Sus scrofa: one gene and its partners. Each later gene encodes a partner of the first gene's protein in a complex. Links are inferred from orthologs where the notes say so. Each region holds a gene or a part of one and is shown in the gene's direction. Other genes may lie near its edges. The genes, in order: SRRM1, CRNKL1, SRRM2, RBMX2, CWC15, SNIP1 and SNRNP40.

Region 1 (3,500 bases):
CTGAATTTTACTGATGTGTATATATCTTTCTAGACATCTTCATGAATTTTGAAAACCAAAGAAAGATAAACTTTTTGTATCATTGTATTATGACTTGGGATTCTGAGAAGAGGGGGAAAGTAAGCTTTTTTTCCCCCCACAGTGACATCCTGAAAGTTCCCAAGCCTGAACCTGTACCAGAGCCTAAAGAACCTTCTCCAGAGAAGAATTCCAAAAAGGAAAAGGAAAAGGAGAAGACCAGACCAAGATCTCGGTCACGTTCCAAGTCAAGATCCCGGACACGTTCTCGCTCTCCTTCTCATACTCGACCTAGAAGGCGCCATAGATCCCGATCAAGGTGGGTAATGGCTGTAATATCTGCCTAGATCTTAAATTTTATGTGCTAACTCTCCTAGATAGAATTGGGTAAATTATTTCAAAGCAGTAGAAAAATTTTGCACAAATGTTAAACTTTGAATTTAGAGAGAATTTGAGGGCACTTTGTATGGTCTGTAAAAATCTACACACTCATATCCCTTGAAAACCGTTTTTTGGATGTAGTTGTCAAGAAAACTATGTCAAGGTGTTTGTTCTTGCTCAAGATTTATTCAGATTCTAATTCTGTTTGTTATGGTAGATCATACTCCCCTAGAAGGCGGCCAAGCCCAAGAAGACGGCCATCTCCTCGAAGAAGAACTCCACCGAGACGAATGCCTCCTCCACCAAGGCATAGAAGGAGTAGATCTCCAGTGAGACGGTGAGAGGTGGTTTTTTGTTTTGGAAGTGACCATATATTTGTTTTAGGCTAATCTTTGAATTAGTGTCATCCTGGGAAAAAAGAAGTCATGAGTGGTATTAAGCAATGTCTTATAAAGATCATCCTCATTTGAGGTTGTAGTGCTGTTACTTGTGCAATGCTAAGCAACACTAATCCAGATTTGGAAAATTAAAAACAAATTCACTATCTTATTGATACTTGTTATCTGTGTTAACCTTGATCTTTTCAGATGCTACCAAGAAATCCTATCAAGTAAGGGAATTGGCTGCCTTACCCTTTCTTTGGGTTTTAACCATTAGCTTCTAAATATAGATGACTGCAGAGCCAGTTGATTGCTCTACCAGTATTAAAATAATTCACTTGATTTATACTCTTAAAGATTTTTTTCATATTTAAGAAGTAGTGAGCAGTTATTATAAACAGTTAAAACAAGTAAAACGAACTTAGAGTTACCCAGTCCCATTCCATAGATATAACTATTGTTAGCAATTTGAAGAGGCCGCATAAAAGTAACCCTGTCAATACCAGTGTTCCTTTTTAAAAATCATTTTTAAATTAGCATAAGGTGGAAGTTGCTGTTGTGGCTTAGTGGTTAGGAACCCAACTAGTATCCATGAGGATGCAGGTTCCATTCCTAGCCTCGCTCAGTGGGTTAAAGGATTCAGCATCACTGCAAGCTGTGGCATAGGTCGCAGATGTGGCTTGGTTCTGGTGTTGCTGTGGCTGTGGTGTAGGCTGGCAGCTGCAGCTCTGATTTGACCCCTAGCCCAGGAACTTTCACGTGCTACAGTTGTGGCCCTAAAAAGAAAAATCAATAAATGAATAAATTAGCATAATCTATCACTTGTAATAGAAAAATTGTTACATCTGCCCAAAGTGGAGGCATGGTGTACTGGTAGCAGAGCTTTGTACCTTTTAAATTTTTTTTAATTTTTAAATTAAAAAAAAAAAATTATGGCTGCACCCAAGGCATGTGGAAGTTCCTGAGCCAGGGACTGAATCCTAGCCATAGCTGCAACCTATGTGCAGTTGCAGCAATGCCAGATTCTTAACCCACTGTGCCATGGCGAGAACTCTAGTTTTGTGCTTTCTTGACAATACATTTCACCTGTTTTTGGAAGGACCTGATAATTATACTTCAGATTATACTTAGGACAGAGTTTTTGGTTTTCGAGTTTATTGAACCATTTTTTATAACTACTGCTAAAAATTACGGAATTGATGTTACCATTGATAAATAAATAAGACTAAGGATGTAAATGGTCAGCCAGTTTAGGCGTCATACTTTTCTAAAAATGATTGTTCCTTAGAAAAGTAGAGCTACTGCTTTCTAGTAGAAGATTAGTGGAAACAGCTATTTCTTACATTGGAGTTTTGCAAAAAGTGTGTTTTAATTGCTTACTGAGCCATTTAGCAGTCAAATAATTTGCAGATTGTGTAAGATTCCCTTTCAGCCAGTTTTTATCTCACACTTAAGGTAGGGTTTCTTTTTTTCAGGTTCTCAGGAATTCTTCCGCCAAAGGTGAATTCTGCAGGTACACATAATTGCACAGAACTTACCACAAATTTTGCCGCAGAATTCGAGAGGCCCCTGCTTCTAAGTTTATGTAGCTAAATGAATTCCTAATCCTGCACATCTTTTTTTTTAAAAATGCAGCCTAAAGGTTGACATTTTATTATTGAGTGAAAAAATACTTTGCCATCCAAATTTTATATGCAAACTCCAAAACACTCATTATTCCAAGGAAGGAAGAGACTGGCTAGTTATTATATTGTAGCACTGGACATATTTTATAGCTGGAAATAAAAATCAAACAGAAGCATTTATCAGAATAAGTTATTTGTAGTTAGTCTCAGAACTAGCTGTTTCCTGCCTAGGTTATGGTGTTGTTTCCCTTTAAAAAATTAATGTGCTTAGCTACATAAACTCAAAAGTTGGATACAAATAGCTGTATTTTTGTGTAAACTGTACATTCCTGTAAGGTCGTTCTCGGTACGTATGCAGTTAATGAATATGAGCACTTTATTCCACAGAAGAAGGCGTTCATCAGCATCCTTGTCTGGAAGTAGCTCATCATCATCTTCGTCTCGTTCCCGGTCACCGCCAAAGAAGGCTCCAAAGAGGACATCCAGCCCCCCTCGAAAAACTCGTAGGCTATCTCCTTCAGCAAGTCCTCCAAGGCGAAGGCATAGGCCCTCACCTCCAGCAACTCCACCACCAAAAACTCGTCATTCCCCAACACCCCAGCAGTCAAATCGTACAAGGAAGAGTCGTGTTTCTGTCTCTCCAGGGAGGACTTCAGGTAAAGGTAAAAATCAATATGTTCTTTCTTTGTTCATTTGGCTACAAAATACCTAGTCGTCATTGTTGTCAAAGTATGAAGTAGCTGGGTAATATTCGTATGTGATGTTTTTATAAATTTGCTGAGAAGCTCACCTTTTCTTTCGTGCTGTAAGTTCTTGGGGTTTGTTAATGGAGTCTACATGGTAAAGCGTTTTGCTCTTAGCATGCCCTCGGCGTTGAGTAGGTGGAGAGATGTGCTATTACCAGGCGTGGGCTGTTTGAGTTGAGGTAACTTAACTGAAGTTTGTGTTGTCATGGTAAGGGAACATTTTATTATTATGAGACCAGTTAACTTTTTTTTTTTTTTTTAACCCAGAAGATTTTTTGTTTGATACCTTAATTGAGGACTTCATATTTTGTTTTAATTCTTTCTTGGCCACATTGTACTCCCCAGGGCTG
Region 2 (3,500 bases), on another chromosome or scaffold:
GCTGGTGCTGTGGTGACCACAGCCTGTGCTGGATATTGAGTGGGAGGCCTCCTTTTTTTGCTCTGTGGTTGTCACAGGCCTGTTGAGGGCAGGGTCTGCTTCCTAAGTGTTGAAGTAGAAGCCCCCAGCTCCATTTCTGAGCTGTGGTGTGAGGTAGGTGGGACTGTAGCACTCCCACTAGGAGAGGAGCCACTGAGTATCCCTCCGCTGGAGCCGTCCACTGGGGAGTGTGTGGTGTCGCCTGTCACCCATTGTGCAAGCTGACAAAGTACACTCCTTTTGGCGCTACCCTCGACCCACCTCAGTTGTGGGCATACAGGTGATTGGCCCTGGGGTCCCTTCAGGTGTTGTGTTCACAAACCCACCAGTGCAGATCCATAGGTGCCGATCCACTGAAATCAGGTACTGGGACTACAGTAGTCATGCCCTTGGACCTTCCGTGGGAGCCGTGCAAGCAGCCCAGACCCCAGCCCAACTCCACATGCACGCACACACAGCTGCCAAGGCTGGCCCCGCTCTAGCCATGGAGCATGACTGTCCACTCAGATGTCCCACGGGCGCTGAGTTTACAGAGCTGGCAGCTGTGGCACAAATCCGTGGATTGCACAGCCTCGGGGAGAGGGCTTAGGTTTTAGCCCTGCTTTCTTAGTGCACAGCCCCTGGGATCAGCTCCACTTCTGGGTGTGGGCAATCACTGGCACTTGCGTGCTCCCAAAGCTTGTAGAGGTGCCGCTGTGGCTGAGTGCATGCTGAGGAAGGGGCAGCTATGGTGAGCCTACCTCTCCCTTCATGGGGCCCCTTAACAATGGCGCTTAGCTTCTGTGGGGGCCTGGGCTTCCCTGTACATCCTGGGTTGTGGTCCATACCCCACTCCAGCCTCTTCAGGCTGTCTCCACGCAGCCAGCTTCAGTCCTCTCCCTGGATCTGTCCTTTGAAGCCCGATTTTCATCACCTGGCCCCTACACATAGGAGGCGCGTGTCTTGGGGTAGAGACAGCAGCGAGGTAGCAGGGATCCTCTGGGCTGGTCTCTCTGTTCTGCCTCCCACCAGCTGGCTGCTACGCTCTCCTCCAAGCCTCTGAAGCTCCCTTTCTGTCCCAGCTGATCTCCCCTCGGGTGAGGGGTCTTCCCAGGATGTGGGCCATTTCCTCTTTCACAGCTCACTCTCAGGGGCACAGGTCCTGTCCGGCTTCCTTCTTCTTTTTTCTTTTTTTCCTTTTCATCCTATCTGATTACGTGGAGATCTTTCTGGCATTCCGGGGTATCTGAGATCTGCCCGTGTCCAGTTAGTATACTGTGAGAATTGTCCCACATGTGGGTATATTTGCAGGAGGAGGGGAGCTCCACGTCCTTCTGTTCCTCTATCTATCTTGATCTGCCCCCTCAATAATGATATATGTAGATATAGATTTTTTTTTTTTTCTTTTGGTCTTTTGTCCTTTTTAGGGCCGCCCCCGTGGCATATGGAGGTTCCCAGGCTAGGGGTCGAATCAGAGCTGTAGCCACCAGCCTACACCAGAGCCACAGAAGAATGATATTTCTTAATGAAATAGCATGTGAAGTCTAGAAAAAAGTGGCTAAGATATAGGAAGTCAGTCTGGTGCCACCTTTCATCTCACATAGTCCAGCAGGCACAGCTCTTCGGTTTTATTTACCGGCCTTAACTTTCTAGGCTAACCCGCACAACTACGACGCTTGGTTTGATTACTTGCGCTTGGTGGAGAGTGACGCCGAAGCAGAGACTGTGCGAGAAGTGTATGAGCGTGCCATCGCCAACGTCCCGCCCATCCAGGAGAAGAGGCACTGGAAGCGCTACATCTATCTTTGGGTCAACTACGCCCTGTATGAGGAGCTGGAGGCAAAGGTGCGAAGCGGCGGGGCCCTGGGCAGGCGCTGACGGGCTCCTCCCCCTGCGCCGACAGGCTCCTCCCCCCTGCGCTTCGGCTCAGCAGGTGTGGTGGGAGCAGACTCTTAGAATCCTTGCAATAGGAGTTTTGCTTTAGATTCTCATAAGCCTCCATTCAGCCAAATAATGAATCATTCTCTCTGCCAGGTTTTAAACTCTGTACACCTATTGTGGGCACAGGTGTATAGAGTTTTAAGTTGGCATTGTATTTTTCTTAACCTTGAGGCATAACAAGAGTATTACTTAGAACTTGAAAGGGAACAATGGGCCACCCCTTAGTTTAATTACATATAGTTTCCTGGATTTTCTGATAAATAGTATCACAGCTGGATTGCATGTTCTTGCTTTTAGTAAAGATCAAGGGAGTGCTCTTGTGGCACAGTGGCTTAGGAACTCGGTGTTGTCACTGAAGCAGCTTGGGTCACGGCTGTGGCACAGGTTTGATCTCTGATCCAGGAACTTTCACATGCCACAGGCACAGCCAGAAAAAAAAAAGAAAAGTGGAATTTTCAGAAGTTGTTTTGTATAGGTTAATGGGAAAAGATTAATTTTCTGTTTTTGATCTGAGGCTATAGCACATCTTTGTTTCTGCTGTCAGGCAAAAAAGCCTTTCCACAGAGAAGCTTTCAGAGTTTGAAGACTATGTTATGGGTAATTCTTTAATCAAAGTTTGGTGGCCAAATGTAATTTACTTTGTGTGTGTGTGTGTGCTTTTTAGGGCCACACCCACGGCATATGAAGGTTCCCAGGCTGGGGGTCAAATCAGAGCTGTAGCCACCAGCCTACACCACAGCCACAGCAACTCAGGATCCGAGCCACATCTGCGACCTACACCACCACTTACATCAACGCGGGATCATCCACTGATCGAAGCCAGGGATCGAACCCATGTCCTCATGGATGCTAGTCAGGTTCGTTTCCACTGAACCACAACAGAAACACCTAATTCACTTTTGATCATAAATGGAATAAGGTTTTGAAAGTACCTTAGCATATTCAGTGTTGGGGTGTACCATTTTTATCAGTAATAGTAAAATTAGTATTAGTAATAGATGTGAACTTTTTGTAAAAATTTCTCATCCTGATACAGGATCCCGAGAGGACAAGACAGGTTTACCAAGCCTCTTTGGAACTCATTCCTCATAAAAAGGTACGTTTGCCCTTAGTGTTCTGTTCCAGACACATCAGAGTCCTGCCTCTGTGGCTTGTGAAACCATTCAGTGAAATACCTGTGCAAGGCACTGTGAAAAACATAATGAAGAACAAGACATGCTCTTTGCCTCTGAAAACAGCTTGCAGCCTGGTTGAATGGACAGCCTGTGTTAGGTGACCAGTGACTGACACAGATAATAATGTAGAAATGCAGGGGCGGAGGGTAAGCCGAACAGACCGGGTGAGAGAGGGAGGTGCACTCCTGGAGCTCTCACTGAGCATGCGGACAGCCAGCAAGGGTCTGTTGGCCCCCAGTGGACATGTAGGCGTGAGGAACACGTGTGTTGTGGAAATGGTTGACATGTGGTCTCTGCCATCTTTCCCAGCATGAGAGACAGAGATGTTGCCCGAGGTGCCCTCTGGAATAGAGGGGGAGTGTTCTG
Region 3 (3,998 bases), on another chromosome or scaffold:
ACTCCAGCTGAAACTGTGGCCTGCCTGGGAAGCCTCGCTTCTTCCACCTCTGTTCTGAGGGAGACTGGCTGCTCTCCCACTGGAAAAAACTGGACTCAGGCACTCTGCAGAGGGGTGGAAAACTTCAGGGCGTCGGTAACGTTTTCGCCCTAACACGTATATGATACATCTCAGGTTCCCTAAGAGAAAAAGCTCATCGCCCCCTTACAGGCGGGGGATGGTAACAAAAAATCATCCCCGGGGTGCAGCCGCCCGGTTCAACACTGTCTGCGGCGGGCAGAAGCTGCGAACAAGACCGCCTACTGGCCGGGCCTAAGGCTCAAGCCCTGAGCCAGACGCTGGGCTCTGGGGTTCCCGGGATGTCCGCTGGCCGGGGTCTGGGCGGGGTGGTAGAGGTCTCCCGGGTGCGGAAGGACAGGGGACGGCAATCACCTGGGAGCCGCAGGGTCCCTGGGCTTGGGACCATCGCCTCCCAACATGGGGAGACAAAATGGCCGCGTGAGGGGAAGGCGAAGCTACTTAAGGGTTCCGCGTCCTCCTAGAACTACAACTCCCAGGATACCCTGGGACGAAGTCGGGAGGTCAAGGAGAGCCCTCGCGCTGGCTATGTGGCGATAGGCCCTATGTCTTCCGCCTCCCAGCGGAAACTGTCGAGAATGCGTTGCTTGCATTCTCGGTCCGCTCCTCCGACCGCGTCGGCAACGGGCCGACGGGAATCATAGTTCTTCGACAACGGAGTTGCCCTTCCCTCGGGCCTTAATTAACTACACTTCCCGGTGCAGTCTCGGCGCCTGCGCACAAGGCCGTGGAGAGTACTACGGCTCCCGGCGTGCCCTGCGACGCGCGCGGTAGCGTGCTGACGTTCTTAGTCCGTCGTGCTGACGTGCAGCGCGGCCCAGGCGGGGTGCGAGTGGCGCAGTCGGAGCCCGCTGCGGCCCCTGAGGAAGCGAGGAGGCGTCTGTGTCGGCTGAGACGGGCGGACCGGGGAGGCAAGGCGGCGACTCCAGGCGCCGAGGGACTCAGGACCTCGAGCGGCGGCGGCGGCAACAGCTCTCCCCCTCGGAAGCGGCGGGCGGAGGCGGCGGCGGCGGGTGAGGGAGCGCGCGAGCCGGGTGGGGGAGGGGCGGCGGCCCCGGCGCTAGGCCAAAGCGCGCGGAGAACGGCTCAGGCCGCCGCGCGCACGCGCGCTGGCCACCCCTAGCTCGTGCGGACGTTCTCGCTTGCCTGCCTTCCCTTCCCCCTCCTCGGGGTTCTTACCGCGCGCGGGTCTTTATTCCTCCTCCCCTCCCCCATGGTAACGGCGCGCGCCGCCGACTGCCCTCGGCCTCGCGCGCGTTCTCGGCGAGGAGGGGGGAGCGCGCGACTCGGCTTCCCGGCTCCCCAGCGCGTGCGGCCGGGAGGCCCTCCTGCAGCTGTCCTTGCCGACATTTTCTCGGCGGGGAGGGGGCGGCGGCGGCGCGCCGGGGGGGGGCGCTCCCGGCTCCTCACCCCTGAGCCTCTCGGTTTGGTCAACCCGTCCCTCCCGGAGGCTTGTGGTCCGGCCTTGAGCCTCCCAGACTACGGGGCGCCGCTCAGCCCCCTCCCTCTCCCTCAAGGCCGAAAATAGGCCCTGGTGGCTCAGCCAGTGCAGAGAAGGCCTTGAACTTAAACGCCCAAGAGATTTAAGACAGTTCGGATGCGTTACTCTCTGTCTTGAAGCGTTAAAAAAGGGAAACGTTTAGGAAAAAAGTCCTTCAGTCTAGGTACGTAGAGGCAGGCCATGTACTGCTTTCTCAGTTTTTCTTTTGTTTCTTTCGCTCCTTCTCTTTCTTTCCTCTTTCCCCGTGTTTTGTTATTTACCAAAAAGTTATGTTAAAGTTAGGGAAGAGGCTGCCAGCCTCAGGAAACGCTGGACTTTGTCTTCATTTGGCGCCCAAGTCTTCTAGTTTTTGGTTTCCTCTCAGACGCCTCTTTAAGATATATTTTGGGTCGAAAAATTGAGAAAGTGTTTTGTGTTTTTTTTCTTCTCCTGAGTGTGTGAGTTTGGATTTCTTCCTGAGCGAGTATTTTCGTTTTCTGGGCTGCCTAGTGTCCACTCAGCTACCACACTGCTCCTGTACTGAGCTTATTGCGCTGTTACTCAGGTCCATTTTTCTGCACACTCCCCACCCCTTTTGGTGCATTTCTCTTCTTAAATACCGTATTATTGGATTTTGAAACTCCTTTCTGCTTAGTTAGTTTGGTACTGTGATGATTTTCCAACAGTAAAAAAACCTCCCTTTCGTCTTTCTTTGCAGCTTGCTTTTGCTTTTTTGCCGCATGCTTGGGTGATGATTTTTTGCATATGCACAGACTGCGAACCCCAGTTTAAGAATCCTTATGTGGTTTTGATGATCTGTGTGTGTTGTTGATACACTTTTTTGTCTATTCGTTCTTAAAATGTTTTGAGCGCCGTCTTGAATGGTGTGTTTGTGGCTTCGTTATTGGCTCATTCCCTATAAGCGTTCCCATCTGTTGTGACTTAATAGATTTTAAAGTGCACGCTTATCATCTACTGGTTTTCCTTCTCCAGGGAGTGGGAGGATTATTGTGTGAGGAGGTATGGAAGTGTGGGTGAATGGTTGAGTTGAAGAATTAATTGCAGATCAGAAGCGTTCTGCAAGGGAAGCAGAAACCAAGTAGGGTATAGAAAGCCAAAGAGGACTTAGGTTTAGAGTGGGGCGGAGAAAAATAACAAAAAAAAAGATAAAAATGGAGGTTGAAGGATTTCATATGCTATAAAGGTTTTCATTTATTTTCATATAGTTCCACTGACTTTTCGTAGATTTAGCTTTATGTGTCACTCCTTTACCCCAGTAGGGATTTTTTTTTTTTTTTCCCTCCAGAGTCTGCAATTGGGATTGAACAGAGTCCCAACCTTAGAGTTGAGGGTTAAGGGGCTCCAAATTGTTAGAGTTGGGCCATTGCCATTTCAGTCAACATCTCTCTCCACTTAGGTGTGGGGAGGGCTTTTAGTACCTTCATCCAGATGTTCCTTCTGGGGGTTTCTAAAATGAAGCCTTCCCTTTTATCCAGTTATATATATTTTTTTTCCCCTCTGCTTTCACTACTTTCTCCCTTTGTTCCTTGGGTTCGTTCCTGGGGTTGTTTCCCTCACACATTTCCCCTGTGAAAACTACCTTTGACAGGATGAGTTGGAGAAAAAAAATATATAGCAGGAGAAAGGAATAGAGTATATTTAGCCAAGAAATTTAATCAGAAAAACTAGGGTTTGAGGGCTCTTCAGAGCCACACCCGGGTTGGGACAGGTTGAGAGGGTAGAAGTTCTGGTGGCAGGTGCAGGATGATGAGTGAGAGGGCGAGGAGGGCTGGAGGAGGAAGCCAGGAAGTGAGGTCCTGGGACTCTTAGGGAAAGCTGATGTAACGAATGTGAGGTACGAAGAGTGGGAGTTTTCTGAGTAAGGGTAGGGGAAGGAATGTAGAGAAGGGGACAGTTGAAACAGGGCAGGCTAGTTTGATGTGTTCAGAGAATTGAGTTGAAAATTAATATTTATCAGGAACTGGTGAGACTTGGGAGCCACACACCACACGAGAAAGCCTGTTGGGAAGGAATCCACGTCAGTTGGGATAGTTAATAGGAAGCGGCCCCTTGTCTGGGAGGTGAGGTGTGAGGGTTATATACAAATCAAGGTTCATGTGTTTCGGATGTTCGTGCTGGCCTTTAGTCTGGGCCACTTGTTTGAATACTTAGGGGCTATTTAGTCGATTTGTATTCATAATTTCAGGGTACTTTCAGGGTAGCATGAAATCTTTAGGTCAATTCTTAGAACAGTCTTTAAACTTGGAATGCAGGCCCTTGGGTGCCACAGATCTTTCTTTGGTGTTTGTTGTGCCCAGTTTGGAGGCCTCAGTTGCCAGGGGTTAGGAGTTAGTTGGGCCAAGGGAGAATAAAAGGACAGTGTGGAGAAATTTGGGATAAATAGTATCTTTGGGGTGGGAAAAGAACGAGCTGCAAACAG
Region 4 (4,101 bases), on another chromosome or scaffold:
AATCTGTCACTGTTTAGTTTTCATTGCCAAGGTAATTCTACAAAGTTAATGAATAGCTGGGTTGGAAGTGGGGGAGGGGGACAGACACAAAAACTGTCATTGGTGGGCAGCCTGTTCTGCTTCTTGGGAAGACATTGGGTACATGGTGAACCATTGAGGGTACAGTTGTCACTGTCACCATCATCAAAGTGCTTTTAATTTCTGGGGCTGTGAGCTAGGCCTACACAGAGAACTATACAGCCCCATAATTTGACTTTGACATAATTTGCATGGTCTAAGGCCAGAATTGATGTGGACACATGCAAGATGGATTTGAATCTTCAGAATGGCTTAATTCACACATTACATGCCATCATCTCTTCTACAGGTTCCTGATTATTTCTGGAGTCAAATCTATCAAGCCCTGTCTCCTCAATGATATTATTAGCTCTTTGAAGGCAGAGAACCCAACCTTACATTCCCATCTGCAGACTTACTGTATAGGACAAATACAGATGCTCAGTAAGGACCGATAAATCAAGTGGATCTGATGGATAGAGACAGAGTACCATCCAAGTTATTTAACTCCTTTAAACTCAGTTTCTGCTACGAAACGGGGAGGATAATTGTATCTAAGCCTTCACAGGAGGGCCAATACATGTAAATTGCTTAGCACACAATCTATCATTACCTGCTCAACTGTTAGTTATTAATTTAACAATACCAATTCCTACCTCCTGCTTGAGTAGCAGACAGACTATGGAAAACGGTTAGCAGCATTCACACAAATCTGGGTATTCAATTCAGCCTATGGAGGCACAGTGGTCAGTTGCCTATGCGGTGCGATTTGAGACAAAAAGATTTACCCTCTCACACAGCTTTTTCACATTTCTGCTGTAACTCCTGAACAGGGATGCTTTCATGGCGGTGTGCGTGTGAGTAATTGGCTGGGAGTTAAGGACAGAATGAGGATTTGCACTGGAAGAGAAGGATGGGACTCAAGTCGCCGTTATCAGGCACCTCTCAAAGTCTTCCTTCAAAAAACATTTATAGTTAACCCAATAAATGCCAGGCATCGTTTAGGAGTTCGGAGTCCTGTAACAAACCAGGCTCGCACCCTCGTCCAACTCCAAGCACGGTGGAAGCGAGGGTCTACAGAAAAAGAGCGACATCGGCGGAACAAGAGAAGCCGCTTACTGACGTAGTGCGCAGGCGCCACGCCCCAGCGCGGCCCGGCTCTTCCGGCGCGGCGTAAGCGCGCAGCTGAGACCAATGGGCGCGCAGCGCCGGGTCGCGCATGCGTCTTGCAGCCTCTCCCGGAAGTCGCTTCCTAGGTGCTGAGGGCGAACCCGCGGAGATGAAGTAAGGCCTCAGGTTCCTTTTGGGAAAAGGGGACAGGCGGCCGGGGGTAGTTCACTGAAGCTGGAGTGGTAGAGCACTTGTGAGGCTGAGGAGCGGGGGAGGCGCAGATACTAGAAAATTAGTCTCCCAGTTTTGCTCTCCTTTACCTCAGGCTAGGCCGCGCTTACTTGTCCGCTTTTCCGCCCCTTGTGCAGCCCTTTAACTAAAGTGAAGCTGATCAACGAGCTGAATGAGCGTGAGGTCCAGCTGGGGGTGGCGGAGAAGGTGTCTTGGCACTCCGAGTACAAGGACAGCGCCTGGATCTTCCTAGGTGAGGCCCACATCTTTCTCCCGCAGGGCTTCTCATTCTCTCCTGGCCTGCCTCCTAACATTTCAGCATTCCCGCCCATCATTCCTCCCGACATTCATCACCCACTTTTATTTACTTCCACTGTCGGCCTATAAATCCGTTTTCCAGGTCGCTTTTCTAGCTCATTTCTAGTTTGCTCTCGCTGCCAAATCAGCGTTCATGATAGGTACTGCCTGCCATTCAGTGTGCTAAGAATCGTGCCGTTTGGTTTCTCAGAGACTGTTATTATCATCCTCTTGTCCTCTAGTTATACACCTAAGGAAACTGAGATGCAGAAAAGTTAATGGACTTCCTTCAGGTCGCATAGCTAGCAAGTGGAACAGCAAGAACTGTGGGGTTTGAGAACTCCTGGTATCAGCCACTATCCGGTATTACTGCCAACTCCCTCTCCCTTCATTACCCTTCACGCAGAATTTATTTCCCCGTCCATGGCCACATCATCATTTCCATATTCACTGTGTCACATTCTGTAATTTGACAGTTTATTCGAAGAGATTATTACAACAGACATTGTGCTAGGCACTTTATAGCCATTGTTTTATTTTCATTCTTATTACAATTCTGTGAGGTAAGTGCCAATATCCCCATTTTACAGATGAAGAAGGAAACATTCGTAGGGGAATTTATTTCCTATGAAATCCTTAACAATTGTGAGGTGGGGTTAATATTTTTTTTTTCCCACTGTACAGCAAGGGGATCAGGTTATCCTTACATGTATACATTACAATTACATTTTTCCCCCACCCTTTCTTCTTTTGCAACATGAGTATCTAGACAAAGTTCTCAATGCTATTCAGCAGGATCTCCTTGTAAATCTATTCTAAGTTGTGTCTGATCAGCCCAAGCTCCCGATCCCTCCCACTCCCTCCCCCTCCCATCAGGCAGTCACAAGTCTCTTCTCCAAGTCCATGGTTTTCTTTTCTGAGGAGATGTTCATTTGTGCTGGATATTAGATTCCAGTTATGAGTGATATCATATGGTATTTGTCTTTGTCTTTCTGGCTCATTTCACTCAGTATGAGATTCTCTAGTTCCATCCATGTTGCTGCAAATGGCGTTATGTCGTTCTTTTTTATGGCTGAGTAGTATTCCATTGTATTCCATAGTATTCCACATCTTCCAAATCCAATCATCTGTCGATGGACATTTGGGTTGTTTCCATGTCCTGGCTATTGTGAATAGTGCTGCAATGAACATGTGGGTGCACGTGTCTCTTTTAAGTAGAGTTTTGTCCGGATAGATGCCCAAGAGTGGGATTGCGGGGTCATATGGAAGGTCTGTGTATAGATTTCTAAGGTATCTCCAAACTGTTCTCCATAGTGGCTGTACCAGTTTACATTCCCACCAACAGTGCAGGAGGGTTCCCTTTTCTCCACAGCCCCTCCAGCACTTGTTCTTTGTGGATTTATTAATGATGGCCATTCTGACTGGTGTGAGGTGATATCTCATGGTAGTTTTGATTTGCATTTCTCTTATAATCAGCGATGTTGAGCATTTTTTCATGTGTTTGTTGGCCATCTGGATATCTTTGGAGAAATGTCTATTCAGGTCTTTTGCCCATTTTTCCATTGCTTGATTGGCTTTTTTGCTGTTGGGTTGTATAAGTTGTTTATATATTCTAGAGATTAAGCCCTTGTCGGTTGCATCATTTGAAACTATTTTCTCCCATTCTGAAAGTTGTCTTTTTGTTTTCTTTTGGGTTTCCTTTGCTGTGCAAAAGCTTTTCAGTTTGATTAGTTCCCATTGGTAAATTTTTGCTCTTATTTCTATTGCTTTGGGAGACTGACCTGAGAAAATATTCATGATGTTGATGTCAGAGAGTGTTTTGCCTATGTTTTCTTCTAGGAGTTTGATGGTGTCCTGTCTTACATTTAAGTCTTTCAGCCATTTGGAGTTTATTTTTGTGCATGGTGTGAGGGTGTGTTCTAGTTTCATTGCTTTGCATGCAGCTGTCCAGGTTTCCCAGCAATGCTTGCTGAATAGACTTTCTTTTCCCCATTTTATGTTCTTGCCTCCCTTGTCAAAGATTAATTGACCATAGGTGTCAGGGTTTATTTCCGGGTTCTCTATTCTGTTCCATTGGTCTGTCTGTCTGTTTTGATACCAGTAGCACACTGTTTTGATGACTGTGGCTTTGTAGTATTTCTTGAAGTCTGGGAGAGTTATGCCTCCTGCTTGGTTTTTGTTTCTCCAGGATTGCTTTGGCGATTCTGGGTCTTTTGTTGTTCCATATAAATGTTTGGATTGTTTGTTCTAGTTCTGTGAACAATGTCATGGGTAATTTGATAGGGATTGCATTGAATGTGTAGATTGCTTTGGGTAGTCTGGCCATTTTTACAATATTGATTTTCCCAATCCAGGAACATGGAATATCTTTCCATTTCTTTACATCTTCTTTGATTTCTTTGATTA
Region 5 (3,500 bases), on another chromosome or scaffold:
ACCAGTAACTCTAAAGGAAATAATGTAAAATCGGCAGGACCTTATTCCCTCACATATGTTATTATATTATGAATTTGGATATGTTGTATGCTTGAGCACTGATAGTTCTACCTTCTCGGAGGTAAGTCTTTTTACTTTTAGCATCAATATAATTTATTAAGTATATAGTTTTTGGAAAGTTATCTGTTCTTAATCTATCATAGATGCCCCTTGCTTTTGTCTGGTTAAGATCTGAAAATGACCAAAAGGGATTTTCCTATTTATTTCTCTGAAAATTGCATCTTCTCACCTCCCAGTAGTTGAGCCTTATAAAAATGAAATCTGTTGTTCACACTTGATCGTTAAAATGAAGTATCTTTAACCATTTTATTTTCTAATTCTAAGAAAGAAACTGAGGATAATTTGAGTTTAAAGAGGTTAGTGCTAAAATAAAAGTGAAGAAAGACAACCATGTAACTGATGATGCTTGAGAGATATAAAAATAGTCAGCAATAATAAATCAAGAATAAAATGGATAAACCTCAGAAAAATTAGTATAAATGCATGTTAACTGAATATAATTTTTTACATAATGGTTTGTTTTACTTTAGAAGATAAATCTTGGTTAATAATAACTTGTTACCAGTCCTAGAGATACAGGTTTACATTGTCAGTAATTCAAAATAGAATTATTGGAGTTCCCGTCGTGGTGCAGTGGTTAACGAATCCGACTAGGAACCATGAGGTTGCAGGTTCGGTCCCTGCCCTTGCTCAGTGGGTTAACGATCCGGCGTTGCCGTGAGCTGTGGTGTAGGTTGCAGACGCGGCTCAGATCCCGCGTTGCTGTGGCTCTGGCATAGGCCAGTGGCTACAGCTCTGATTCGACCCCTAGCCTGGGACCCTCCATATGCCGCGGGAGCAGCCCAAAGAAATAGTAAAGAAAAAAAAAAAAAAAAGACAAAATAGAATTATTTTTAATAAAATTAAGATAATTAAAATTGAGATAATTGCTTTACTAAATGAGTTTTTTGATGTCTTCTATGTTCTTAAATTATTAGAATGTTTATTGATGTATTCTCTTAGAATAAACAATTTTGTAGTTTTCTATGTACTTCAAGAAAGACAGTGGGTTTAAATACGCAACTTAAAAATTTCAAAGTCAGAGAGAGACTAATGAATATATGACGGCAAGCATGAAATATTTGTAATGAAAATGCTGAATTATTTTATTTTGGTAAGTGGGACTTTTCTGGTATGTCTTAAAAACAAAAAGTAATGCTACCTTGATGTTTATCTTATCTCCCTCTTAAAATCCTACAATGTGAGCTGTATAATAGGATTGACCCGAGAGTTAATATAAATAAATACGAATTTTCCCCTGTTGTTGACAGGAACAAGAACAGAAGGCTGAAGAAGAAAGGATTCGTATGGAAAACATTCTGAGTGGAAACCCTCTCCTTAACCTCACTGGCCCATCCCAGCCTCAGTCCAACTTCAAAGTTAAAAGAAGGTACTAGATAGTACTGGGTTGGATATATATATATACACACACACACAAATTATGAATTTTATAGAAAACTATATTATGTAAAGCTTGTCGTTTCCACTCTCCGCTGATAATTTTCTCCATCACATTGTGGAATAATGGAAGGAGAATAAAAGAAAATTAACTTATTTTCCATATATGGTTACAATAACCAGCTGTGTACCAGCGATTGTTCTAGGTACTAGAGACAGAGCAATGCACTGGGCCCTTGACCCTGCAAAGCTTCCATTGTAGTTGTGTGTGTCAGGGGTCCCCAGGACCACTGTTTACATTCAAAGACTCTCTGGAAGATGTCAGAGGACTCAGCATGTGAACCAGATCATGACGGGATAAGGCGTGTACTGTCCCTCCCACGAAGGGTCACCCAGACCACATCCCTTTCCCTGGTAGTGAATAGGCAGCAACCTGAATGCGGTGTTTCTGCCCAGGAAAACCCATTAGAGACCCAATACCTATGGTTTTTAGTGGCTACTCACATAGGCAGCCTCTGCCTAGCACATACAAAAATTGAGACTCCTAGAAGAAAGCAGGTGTTCATAGACCACATTATTTGTGCAGACAGTCTAGACACCGTGACAGTAAGAAGATTCCTGAAATCCAGTTTTCCAAATGCCAGCCAAGGGCCAGGCTTGCAGGCAACCTTCCAAGGCTGTCAGTCTCAGGCCTGCGGGTGAGCTCTTCCCTGTATGTGCACGTGTGTGTGTGTGTGTGTGTGTGTGTGTGCGTGCGTGTGTGCGCGCGCGCACGCATGCATGTGTAGAGTAGAAGGCTGAAGGGGGGTAAATACAGGCAGTCAGTGCTGTGTATAGAGCTTCACGTGCAGGGAAGTAAAACAAATGTACAGAAAGTGCTCGGTGGAAGCTGGTGGTTGTTTGATACAAGGTGATGGAGGAACCCTGTCGGCTTAACATTTAAACCATATCTATTAATTTTCACCACCTCCACTGCTGCCGTCTCCCTCGCAGTGATGCAGTCCCCCTAACTGGTCTGTATGCATACTCATCACCCTCTCCATCCCTACCCCCAAGTTTTTTTTTAACATAGCAGCATCATGGTCCTTTTAAAATAAAAGATAACTTTCTCCTTTTCTAAGCCATCCAGTGGCTTCCGGACTCATACATGGTTAAAAAAAAGAAGTCCTTCTTACAATGGCAACTGCGTAGTCAAGGGAGGATTTGCTGCTGGGAAGGTGACATTTTATCAGAGACTAGACTCCAGGGTGTTTGACCTGAGCTGTTGAAAGGGCAGATTTGGGGGAGAATGTAAACTGAGGGGCGAGGGAGAGGGACAGGCGTAAGACATGGTGTCTTTGCGATGGTGTACACGTCGGAGTGGGAATGTTGAGTAGGTAGCTTGATACGCAGTTCTGAAATTAGCCTGGCCTACAGGTCATGCATTTGGGAGCTGTCGACTTAGAGACGTTTCCTGAAGCCACAAAGACTAGATGGGCTCACTTGGGGAACGAGTACAGCCTAAGAGGAGGCCGGGGGACTGAGCCTGGGGTGATGTTTCAAGGTTGGGCAGGTGATTAGCTGTCAGGACCTGGAACAGTACCTGGTGTGTACCAGGTGCTCAATAAATAATTGATTCAGTGACTTATGAATGAAAAAAACTAGGCTGAGAAGGAGCAGCCAGTGAGGAAGAAATGAACCAAAAGACGTTGGTAAGTGTCTTGGAGTCTCACTAAGTGTTTCCAGAAGAGGGGAGTGATTATCTAGGTCAGCTAGTGATGAGGGCAAGCAAAGTGAGTACTTCGGGGTGGCCATGGGAGTTAGCGCCGAGGAAGAGCGATTTGGTGTTGAGAAGGGGGGAAAGCCTTTTGGGAGTAAGCTGAGGGGAGAGTGGATAGAGCAAAAAACTACATTGATGATACTCGTATTACACAATATGGTTGTTATGCCTTGTTTGGTTGCGGATAGAGCTGTTGGGAGATTGAAACGTCTTACTATGCAGATCACGTTTGACCTAGCTCTGC
Region 6 (4,193 bases), about 11 Mb from region 1:
CAGCTCCACACACTTTGGCAGGCTTTCACCGGGTCACTCGCATACCTCTCCCCCATTCTCAGATCACTCTTCCTCATTAGAAGTTATGTTTCAGAGCTGAAGGAGGCCATGAAGAATCTCTGGTCCCACCCCAACTCAATGCTTCTATCTCCTTGTGCAGATGTTGCTCAGGCCTTTACTTTCTTACCTTTAGAGATGGGGCCAGTCACTATCAGATCTATCCTTGTACACTACCTGGATAGGGCAGGGAGCCCCATCCATCTCTCTGTGACTTTTTTTCCCATCCTAAATCTGCCCTTAGGATCACCCAACATCTGGGCTTCTTGTACCGCTCTCCCACCCTCCTTGCCTGGTCCTAATTCCCTTTATTCCCAGTCACTGCACCCTCTGTCCCTTGGGACTCCCAATCCTCAAGGCAGGGATCTGTCATTCCCCGTGGGAGTTTCCGAGCTCCCCCATCCTGAGACTCCTCCTTACTTTGGGACTCCGTTTCTCCGTGTTGCGGCTCACCAATACCGGGGTATCATACTTGAGCAGAGAGTCGGCGGGGGGGATCATGGCGGCGGCGAGGGTAGCAGCACAGCAGCGACCCTCCTGTCAGGGCAGTGTTTGCCGTCGCCATGGAAACGTCCTTGACATCCTCATGGCCTGGGCGGGGCTTCGAGGCGGGGCGGGGCCAGCAGCTCGAGAGTTTCTTTCTGCTCAACCTTCGAGGAAAGTTCTCCTGCGTTTAGCTTGTCAAGCCTCCTGCTCACCGGGATCGCCTTAGCACTCTTGGAAGCAGGGGAAACTTGAGTTCTGGATCCCTTCGCTGCGTCCAGCTCACGGTTTGAGTAAGGCGCAGATCACTTTCGCTGATCCTGGATTTTGTCACCCGCAAATGGAATCATTTGACTCCTCAGTGAAGGCTGAGGAAGATTCCCAGAGGAAGGCATTTAAAGTTCCCAGGTTTTAAAAAGAGTTTGCCTTTAATGGAGAAATGGCGACGATTTGCCCGGCCGACGATTTGCCCGGGCTACGATCTGTGATTGCATTTCCTTCTCTTCCCCTTTCCTTCGTATTTCCAAACGTAAATGTCATCACAGTCTGCGCACAATTTTGCATCTTGCTTCTTCCATTTAACAAGTCAGACTTTTTTCCATTTGTCGTATAGTTTGTAAATACCATTGCAAATGGTGACATAATCTCTTTTCTACTGCTGGATGTGTAGTTTGTCCCCATGTTTAGTAACTAGTAATAACGCGTCAACAAACAACCTTGAGAGGAGCTTTTTCCCCCCAATTTGTTTTTGAAACCTAAAACTCCCGCCCCACAGAGTCGGGTCCCTAAGGCCCCGCCCACTCGGGATTCTGATCGCGTTATCCGCCGCGAGGGTTTCTGGGAGAGCGCGCACCCGGAAGCGGAAGTCCAGGACTCAAGTCCGTCATTTCCTTCACGGAGAGGAGCGCGACGGTCCTGTTTTTCCTTGGCTCAGCCGTTTCACAGCATGAAGGAGGTGAAGAGCGAGCGGGAGCGGGGAAGTCGGCGAAGGCACCGGGACGGGGACATGGTGGCGGCGGCGACGGTGGTGGTGAAGCAGGAGCGCCTCAGCCCGGAATCCGCGCCTCCTGTCCATCGCCGTCCGGACTCCTCCGGCGGTAGCCCTTCCCCGCTGGCCGGCGAGTCAGGCCGCCCCGGTCACCGCGGGAACCGAGCTCGAGGAGGTAGCCGGTAAGTGGGAAGCAGCCTGGGGTAGACCTGAGGTCGGGCTTTTTGAGAAAGGGGGACAGGGCTGGCACCAGGAGCACACCTTGAATGCTGAGCGCGGCAGCTTGAATTAATCCTAAGGCGATAGAAGTGACCGGTTGTGAGTGTGTTAACGTTTACTCTGATACCTGTTACTTGCGTTATACCTGGGCGTTAAACGCCTAATGCCTGATGGGCAAGTTCTTGCTCCTTCATCTCTGTGTGCTCAGCATTTCTCCGAGTATGGTCCAGCTGATGACAATGATAGTTTATGTTGAAATGAAAGATTTTTCCCACCTGCCTCCAAATGGGGTTATTTTTTCAGTTATCTGCCCCAAGAAGTTTTCATATCCTGAGCCTAGGTGATCTGTCTGATATTCTGGGGGGAAATTGTCTTTTGCGAACAATTTATTCATTCATTCGACATAGTTTTGTCGAGTACTTATTATGTGCTAAAGACCTCATAGGTTATAAAATAATGTGGAAAATAGCTATGTACAATTTTTTAAAATATAAATGTATATGTGGAATTTGAATCAAACTGTAAAATTATACACAGATAAAACTGAAATAAAGAAAATAATGGGAGTTCCCATTGTACCTCAGCAGTAACGAACTGGACTAGTATTCTTGAGGACTATGAGGATGTAGAATTCATCCCTGGCCTCGATCAGTGGGTTCAGGATCCAGCGTTGCCATAAGCTGCATTGTAGGTCGAAGATGCGGCTCTGATCCTGTGTTGCTATGGCTGTGGCGTAGGCCAGCAGCTGTGGCTCTGATTTGACCCCTAGCCTGGGAACTTCCATATGCTAAGGGTGTGGCCCTAAAAAGACAAAAAAAAAAAAAAAAAAAAAAAGGAAGAAAGAAAGAAAAAGAAAAGAAAATATGAGGCAGGCAGGCAGGCCGTCCTGGGTATTGGGGTGGAAAGAATGAGCATGATAGATGATCTCTACCCTGGTGAAACTGAGATGCTCTAGCCCTGAGACAGAATAACAAGGAAATAAAGAAAATAATTTGTTAGTAACAAGTACTAGGGATAGGTTAAGACAGTAATGTCATAGAGAGTGGAGAGAAGTGGTTCTCTGTGAAAAGTCTGCCACTTGACCTGAAACCTGATTGATAAAAATAATCCAGGCTTGTAAAGATCTAATCAGAGAAAACAAGCAGTGCAAAGATCCTGAAGTGGAATTAATTGTGTTCCTTCTAGAAAAGGAGGAGGGGAGGGGATCCGGTATAGTGAGGTGGGTAGGAATGCGGTGGGAGAGAGAAGAGGTAGAGCCTGGAGCCAGAGGACTTGCTGATTGATTGTGAGCGTGTTGGGGAGGAGCATGGGGCCTCTTGGTGGTAAGGGGGAGAAAAAAAAAGAATCTAGGATGACTTCTAGGTTTTTGGCCTGAGGAACGGATGGATAGTGGTATCAGTTACCCTGATGGCAAAGATAGGAAAGTTGAGAGGTGGGAATTTAGCCTTCTCTTATCGAAGTGAGAAGTTTCAATTGGCAGCTACATATGTGGGAGACATTCAGGGCTGAAAAAGTGAAGCTCCTGACTCCTTTAGTGTGATCAGCAGAAGCCTTCACAAATGTGATGTTTGTGTTAGTAGATAGGCCTGATACTTGAAGCTAATTTGTATGAGCGAATGAAAATTGAGATGAAATTTATGTGTACCATTCTCTGAACAGGTCCCCACCGAGAAAGAAAAATAAGTCCTCGGGGAGAAGAAGCAAGTCTCCCCGGAGTAGGAGAAGCCGAAGTCCTCACCACTCAACAGTCAAAGTGAAGCAGGTAAGCGGATTGAGATGTTTTCATACCGGCTCCATCAGAGCTGGAGTGTTGTGTGTGTGTTCACCTCTGCCTGCGGTGGGCTTTTCTAGAAACTGGCTTTTTGGGGTTTTTTTGTCTGCCTGTTTACTTCGTTAAACTAAACCTTTTATTTTGAGATAACTGTTGATTCACCTGCAGTTGTAAGAAAATAATACAGAAGTGGTTGTTTCTCCCATTGGAAGCATTTTACATAATTATAGAACTCTATTCCAACCAGAAAAAATTTTTAAGGGAAAAGTGGTTTTTGTTTTTAATTAAAGTATAGTTTAATGATAGTTCCCTCTGGTGTACAGTAGGTCCTTGTTGATTATCTATTCACAACCAAAATATTGACATCAATACAGTTAACATGCAAAACCTTTCCATCACCACAAGATCCCTCATATAGTCCTTTTGTAGTCATATTCATTTCCTTCGCACCCTTAGCCCTCAATTCCTGGCAGCTTCTCATCTCGTTTCCATTTTGTAATTTTGTCATTTCACAAATATTATGTAAATGAAATCATACAGTATGCAGTCTTATGGGATTGGCTTTTTTCCATTCTGCAAAATTCTTTGCAGATGCATTTAGATTATTGCATCTCTGTAGTTCATTCTTTTTATTGCCGAATGATATTCACTGGTATGGGTTTAACCATTTTCCCA
Region 7 (3,500 bases), about 5.5 Mb from region 1:
ATGGCAATGCCAGATCCTTAACCCACTGAGCAAGGCCAGGGATCGAACCTGCAACCTCATGGTTCCTAGTTGGATTCATTTCCACTGTGCCACGATGGGAACGCCTAGTGTTAGATGTTTTTTTGCTTTGTTTTGTTTTGGCCCCATGAGCATGTGGAAGTTCCCATGTTAGTTTCTTGATTCTGATGATTGTGTTCAGATTATGTAGGGAAACATCTTTGGAGAACAAATGTAGTAAACGCTGAAGTATTTACAAGCATCAGAACATGAGGGTAGCAATTCTAAAATAATTTAGGCAGAAGAAGAGTTCACTTTTGCAGCTTCTTTGGTAAGTGTGACTATTTCAAAATAAAATAATCTTAAATTATGGTTGTGGAGTTCCCATCATGGCTCATTGGGTTAAGAACCCAACTAGTATCCATGAAGATGCGGGTTTGATCCCTGGCCTTGCTCAGTGGGTTAAGGATCCAGCTTTGCCTAAAGCTGTGGTGTATGTCACAGATGTAGCTTGGATCTGGCATTGCTGTGGCTGTGAATGCAGCCCTAAAAAAGCAAAGCAAAAAAAGAAACAAACAAACAAAAAAAAACGCCTCAAGAGAACCTCTAACTTAAAGTCTTTAAAATAAAAATCCTAATAAATTTAAAATATTAGGATCTGAAATATGACACAAATGAACCTATTTATGAAACAGACTCATAGACATAGCGAACAGGCTTGTGGTTGCCAAAGGGAAGAGTGGAAGGAGGTGGGATGGACTGGGAGTTTGAGGTTAGTAGATGCAAACTATTACATTTAGGATGGATAAGCAATGAGATCCTATGGTATAGGACAGGGAACTATATTCATTCTCTCAGGATAGACCAGGATGGAAGATAATACAAGAAAGGGAATGTGTATATATGAAGGACTGGGTCACTTTGCTGTACAGCAGGAACTGCCACAACAGGAAGTTACCATTGTGGCTCAGCGGTAACGAGCCCAACTAGTAACCATGAGGATGCTGGTTTGATCCCTAGCCTCTCAGTGGGTTAAAGGATCTGGCGTTGCCATGAGTTGATGGTGTAGGTCACAGACACGGCTTGGATCTTATGTGCCTGTGACTTTGGCATAGGCTGGCAGCTGTAGCTCCAATTCAACCCCTAGCCAGAGACCTTCCATATGCCACAGGCCCTAAAAAGCAAAAGAAAGAAAAGGAAGGAAGGAATTGGCACAACATTGTTAATCAACAATACTTTAATTTAAAAAAAAATTTATAAAATGTAAAAATTTTTAATTTTAATTAAAAAGGAAGAAGGAAGGTCCATTCATCTTCCTCAGGTACTTAGGAACCTATACCAGGATTGTAGACTGTTGTCTTCAAAGCTGTTGCTGAGTAGGAATGGAGTGAGTTAAAATACTGCAAAACTCTTCTTACTAGACCCCAGGTGGGTTTTTCCTCATTAAATATTCACTTGGTTGCTGTAAACTCTAGTTTCTAGAGTTTTGATAAAGTTGATTCTGCCAGGTTTTTTGCCAGGTAAGTCTCTGCTCTTGTAGGAACAATTTTTGGGCAATCCCTGCTCTTGCCTTTTTCACTGATGTAGGCTCCTCTGTCTGTCCCCCCGCCCCCATATATATATATATTTTTTTTTCTTTAAATGTAAGTTGCAGCCCACTAATGAATTAATATCTACAGTTTGAAAATACTGAACTAATAATACCCTTTGTATACTAAGAACATATGAACTAATAAACAAGGTAAAGATTTTTACTCCAAGGACATGTTTGTTAACTGTGTTTATTCAAACTTTAAGTTCCCGTCGCGGCTCAGTGGTTAATGAATCTGACTAGGAACCATGAGGTTTTGGGTTCAATCCTTGGGCTTGCTTAGTGGGTTAAGGATGCTGCATTGCCATGAGCTGTGGTGTACGTTGCAGATGCGGCTTGGATCCACATTGTTGTGGCTCTGGCGTAGACCAGTGGCTACAGCTCCAATTAGACCCCTAGCCTGGGAACCTCCATATGCCACGGGTGCAGCCCTAAAACACACACACACAAAAAAAAAAACTTTAACAAAGGAGTCTGAAAATAGAACCAGCGTGATTTGTTCCACCAGCCTTCAGATATGTTGGCAAAATTATAGTCACTTTTCACGATGTTTATAGGATATCCAGACAAGTTTCGGAACAGGGTCCCCATTTCAAATGTTTTCACCTCTGTAAAAGTCCTTGGACTTAAGGGTGTACTATGCAGTTGCTTCTTAGAGTGATGTTACTGTAGATTCTCTTGTCTTCTTTTTCAGCTTTGGGACATCCGTAAGAAAGCAGCCATCCAGACATTTCAGAATACCTACCAGGTGTTAGCTGTGACCTTCAATGACACAAGTGATCAAATTATTTCTGGTGGAATAGACAATGATATCAAGGTATGTTAGATGTTTGTTATGTTTACCTCTCACCTATCTCCACTCACAGAGGTAAATTTTTCCATACTTCTTAGGTTTGCACTTTATACCAACTAAATGGAAGATAATAACTTAGAAGTCGTTTCCTTTCTGTCCTATCCTCATTGACTTCCTAAGTCATGGTTGCATTGCAGCTTGTATAAATGCTGTCAGGAACCAGGCAGTTAACGTGAAATAGGAAGTTCTTATGTGTGAACTTTGAAAGTGAAGAATGCATTCCCTGCCTAAAGGTATTTGAAACTTTTTTTTTTTTTTTTTTGGTCTTTTTGTTATTTCTTGGGCCGCTCCCGCGGCATATGGAGGTTCCCAGGCTAGGGGTCCAATCGGAGCTGGGAACCGAGCCGCGTCTGCAACCTACACCACAGCTCACGGCAACGCCGGATCCTTAACCCACTGAGCAAGGGCAGGGACCAAACCCGCAACCTCATGGTTCCTAGTCAGATTCGTTAACCACTGCGCCATGACGGGAACTCCGGAAACTTTTTTTTTTTTTTTTTTTTAATTTGCATTGGGGAGTTCTGTTGTGGCTCAGCAGTAATGAACCCAACTAGTATGCATGAGGACTCAGGTTCGATCCCTGGCCTCATTCAGTGGGTTAATGATCTGGCATTGCTGTGAGCTGTGGTGTAGGTGACAGACACAGCTTGGATCTGACATTGCTGTGTCTGTAGGTCAGCAGCTACAGCTCTGATTCCATCCCTAGCCATGGAAACTTCCATATGCCCCAGGTTCGGCCCTGAAAAGACAAAAAAAAAACAAAAAACAACAAAAACCCCTGCATTTGTCTCTTGAGATAGCAGTAAATCAATTTGTGATTCTGTACCCTAATCTCTCAGTATGTCTTTCTTTTTGAGACTATAGAAAGGAAGTTTTGAGGGATCCATAGCTAAGAATGTGAGAAGGTAATGATGTTGGAGAAAGAAGGAGGCAGTAGACTATGTGGCAGTATAGTGTAGCTAAAGCTTTCAGGTAATTGACTTGGGGTCTGATCTCAATTCCACCATTTTGCGGTTTTTTGTTAATTCAAGGTAGTTCCTTAACTTCTTTCAGCCTCTG

The links.
Region 2: SRRM1 (region 1) and CRNKL1 share a complex: the UniProt entries of both Homo sapiens proteins name them as parts of the minor spliceosome. The link is inferred for Sus scrofa from reciprocal best matches to the Homo sapiens genes SRRM1 and CRNKL1.
Region 3: SRRM1 (region 1) and SRRM2 share a complex: the UniProt entries of both Homo sapiens proteins name them as parts of the minor spliceosome. The link is inferred for Sus scrofa from reciprocal best matches to the Homo sapiens genes SRRM1 and SRRM2.
Region 4: SRRM1 (region 1) and RBMX2 share a complex: the UniProt entries of both Homo sapiens proteins name them as parts of the minor spliceosome. The link is inferred for Sus scrofa from reciprocal best matches to the Homo sapiens genes SRRM1 and RBMX2.
Region 5: SRRM1 (region 1) and CWC15 share a complex: the UniProt entries of both Homo sapiens proteins name them as parts of the minor spliceosome. The link is inferred for Sus scrofa from reciprocal best matches to the Homo sapiens genes SRRM1 and CWC15.
Region 6: SRRM1 (region 1) and SNIP1 share a complex: the UniProt entries of both Homo sapiens proteins name them as parts of the minor spliceosome. The link is inferred for Sus scrofa from reciprocal best matches to the Homo sapiens genes SRRM1 and SNIP1.
Region 7: SRRM1 (region 1) and SNRNP40 share a complex: the UniProt entries of both Homo sapiens proteins name them as parts of the minor spliceosome. The link is inferred for Sus scrofa from reciprocal best matches to the Homo sapiens genes SRRM1 and SNRNP40.

What each region holds. Positions count from the first base shown.
Region 1 is NC_010448.4:82,319,192-82,322,691, forward strand, and holds part of SRRM1 (serine/arginine repetitive matrix protein 1), read left to right. Parts: intron 1-142; coding exon 143-337; intron 338-616; coding exon 617-736; intron 737-2,791; coding exon 2,792-3,066; intron 3,067-3,500. UniProt on the Homo sapiens protein: Part of pre- and post-splicing multiprotein mRNP complexes. As a component of the minor spliceosome, involved in the splicing of U12-type introns in pre-mRNAs. Involved in numerous pre-mRNA processing events.
Region 2 is NC_010459.5:28,091,372-28,094,871, reverse strand, and holds part of CRNKL1 (crooked neck-like protein 1), read left to right. Parts: intron 1-1,671; coding exon 1,672-1,863; intron 1,864-2,995; coding exon 2,996-3,055; intron 3,056-3,500. UniProt on the Homo sapiens protein: Involved in pre-mRNA splicing process. As a component of the minor spliceosome, involved in the splicing of U12-type introns in pre-mRNAs.
Region 3 is NC_010445.4:39,274,416-39,278,413, forward strand, and holds the start of SRRM2 (serine/arginine repetitive matrix protein 2), read left to right. Parts: upstream 1-1,198; 5' UTR 1,199-1,742; intron 1,743-3,998. UniProt on the Homo sapiens protein: Required for pre-mRNA splicing as component of the spliceosome. As a component of the minor spliceosome, involved in the splicing of U12-type introns in pre-mRNAs.
Region 4 is NC_010461.5:106,879,611-106,883,711, forward strand, and holds the start of RBMX2 (RNA binding motif protein, X-linked 2), read left to right. Parts: upstream 1-1,301; 5' UTR 1,302-1,336; coding exon 1,337-1,341; intron 1,342-1,535; coding exon 1,536-1,651; intron 1,652-4,101. UniProt on the Homo sapiens protein: Involved in pre-mRNA splicing as component of the activated spliceosome. As a component of the minor spliceosome, involved in the splicing of U12-type introns in pre-mRNAs.
Region 5 is NC_010451.4:27,037,281-27,040,780, reverse strand, and holds part of CWC15 (spliceosome-associated protein CWC15 homolog), read left to right. Parts: intron 1-1,370; coding exon 1,371-1,489; intron 1,490-3,500. UniProt on the Homo sapiens protein: Involved in pre-mRNA splicing as component of the spliceosome. Component of the PRP19-CDC5L complex that forms an integral part of the spliceosome and is required for activating pre-mRNA splicing.
Region 6 is NC_010448.4:93,609,370-93,613,562, reverse strand, and holds the start of SNIP1 (smad nuclear-interacting protein 1), read left to right. Parts: upstream 1-1,393; 5' UTR 1,394-1,486; coding exon 1,487-1,710; intron 1,711-3,406; coding exon 3,407-3,509; intron 3,510-4,193. UniProt on the Homo sapiens protein: Required for pre-mRNA splicing as component of the spliceosome. As a component of the minor spliceosome, involved in the splicing of U12-type introns in pre-mRNAs. Down-regulates NF-kappa-B signaling by competing with RELA for CREBBP/EP300 binding.
Region 7 is NC_010448.4:87,862,624-87,866,123, reverse strand, and holds part of SNRNP40 (U5 small nuclear ribonucleoprotein 40 kDa protein), read left to right. Parts: intron 1-2,282; coding exon 2,283-2,405; intron 2,406-3,500. UniProt on the Homo sapiens protein: Required for pre-mRNA splicing as component of the activated spliceosome. Component of the U5 small nuclear ribonucleoprotein (snRNP) complex and the U4/U6-U5 tri-snRNP complex, building blocks of the spliceosome.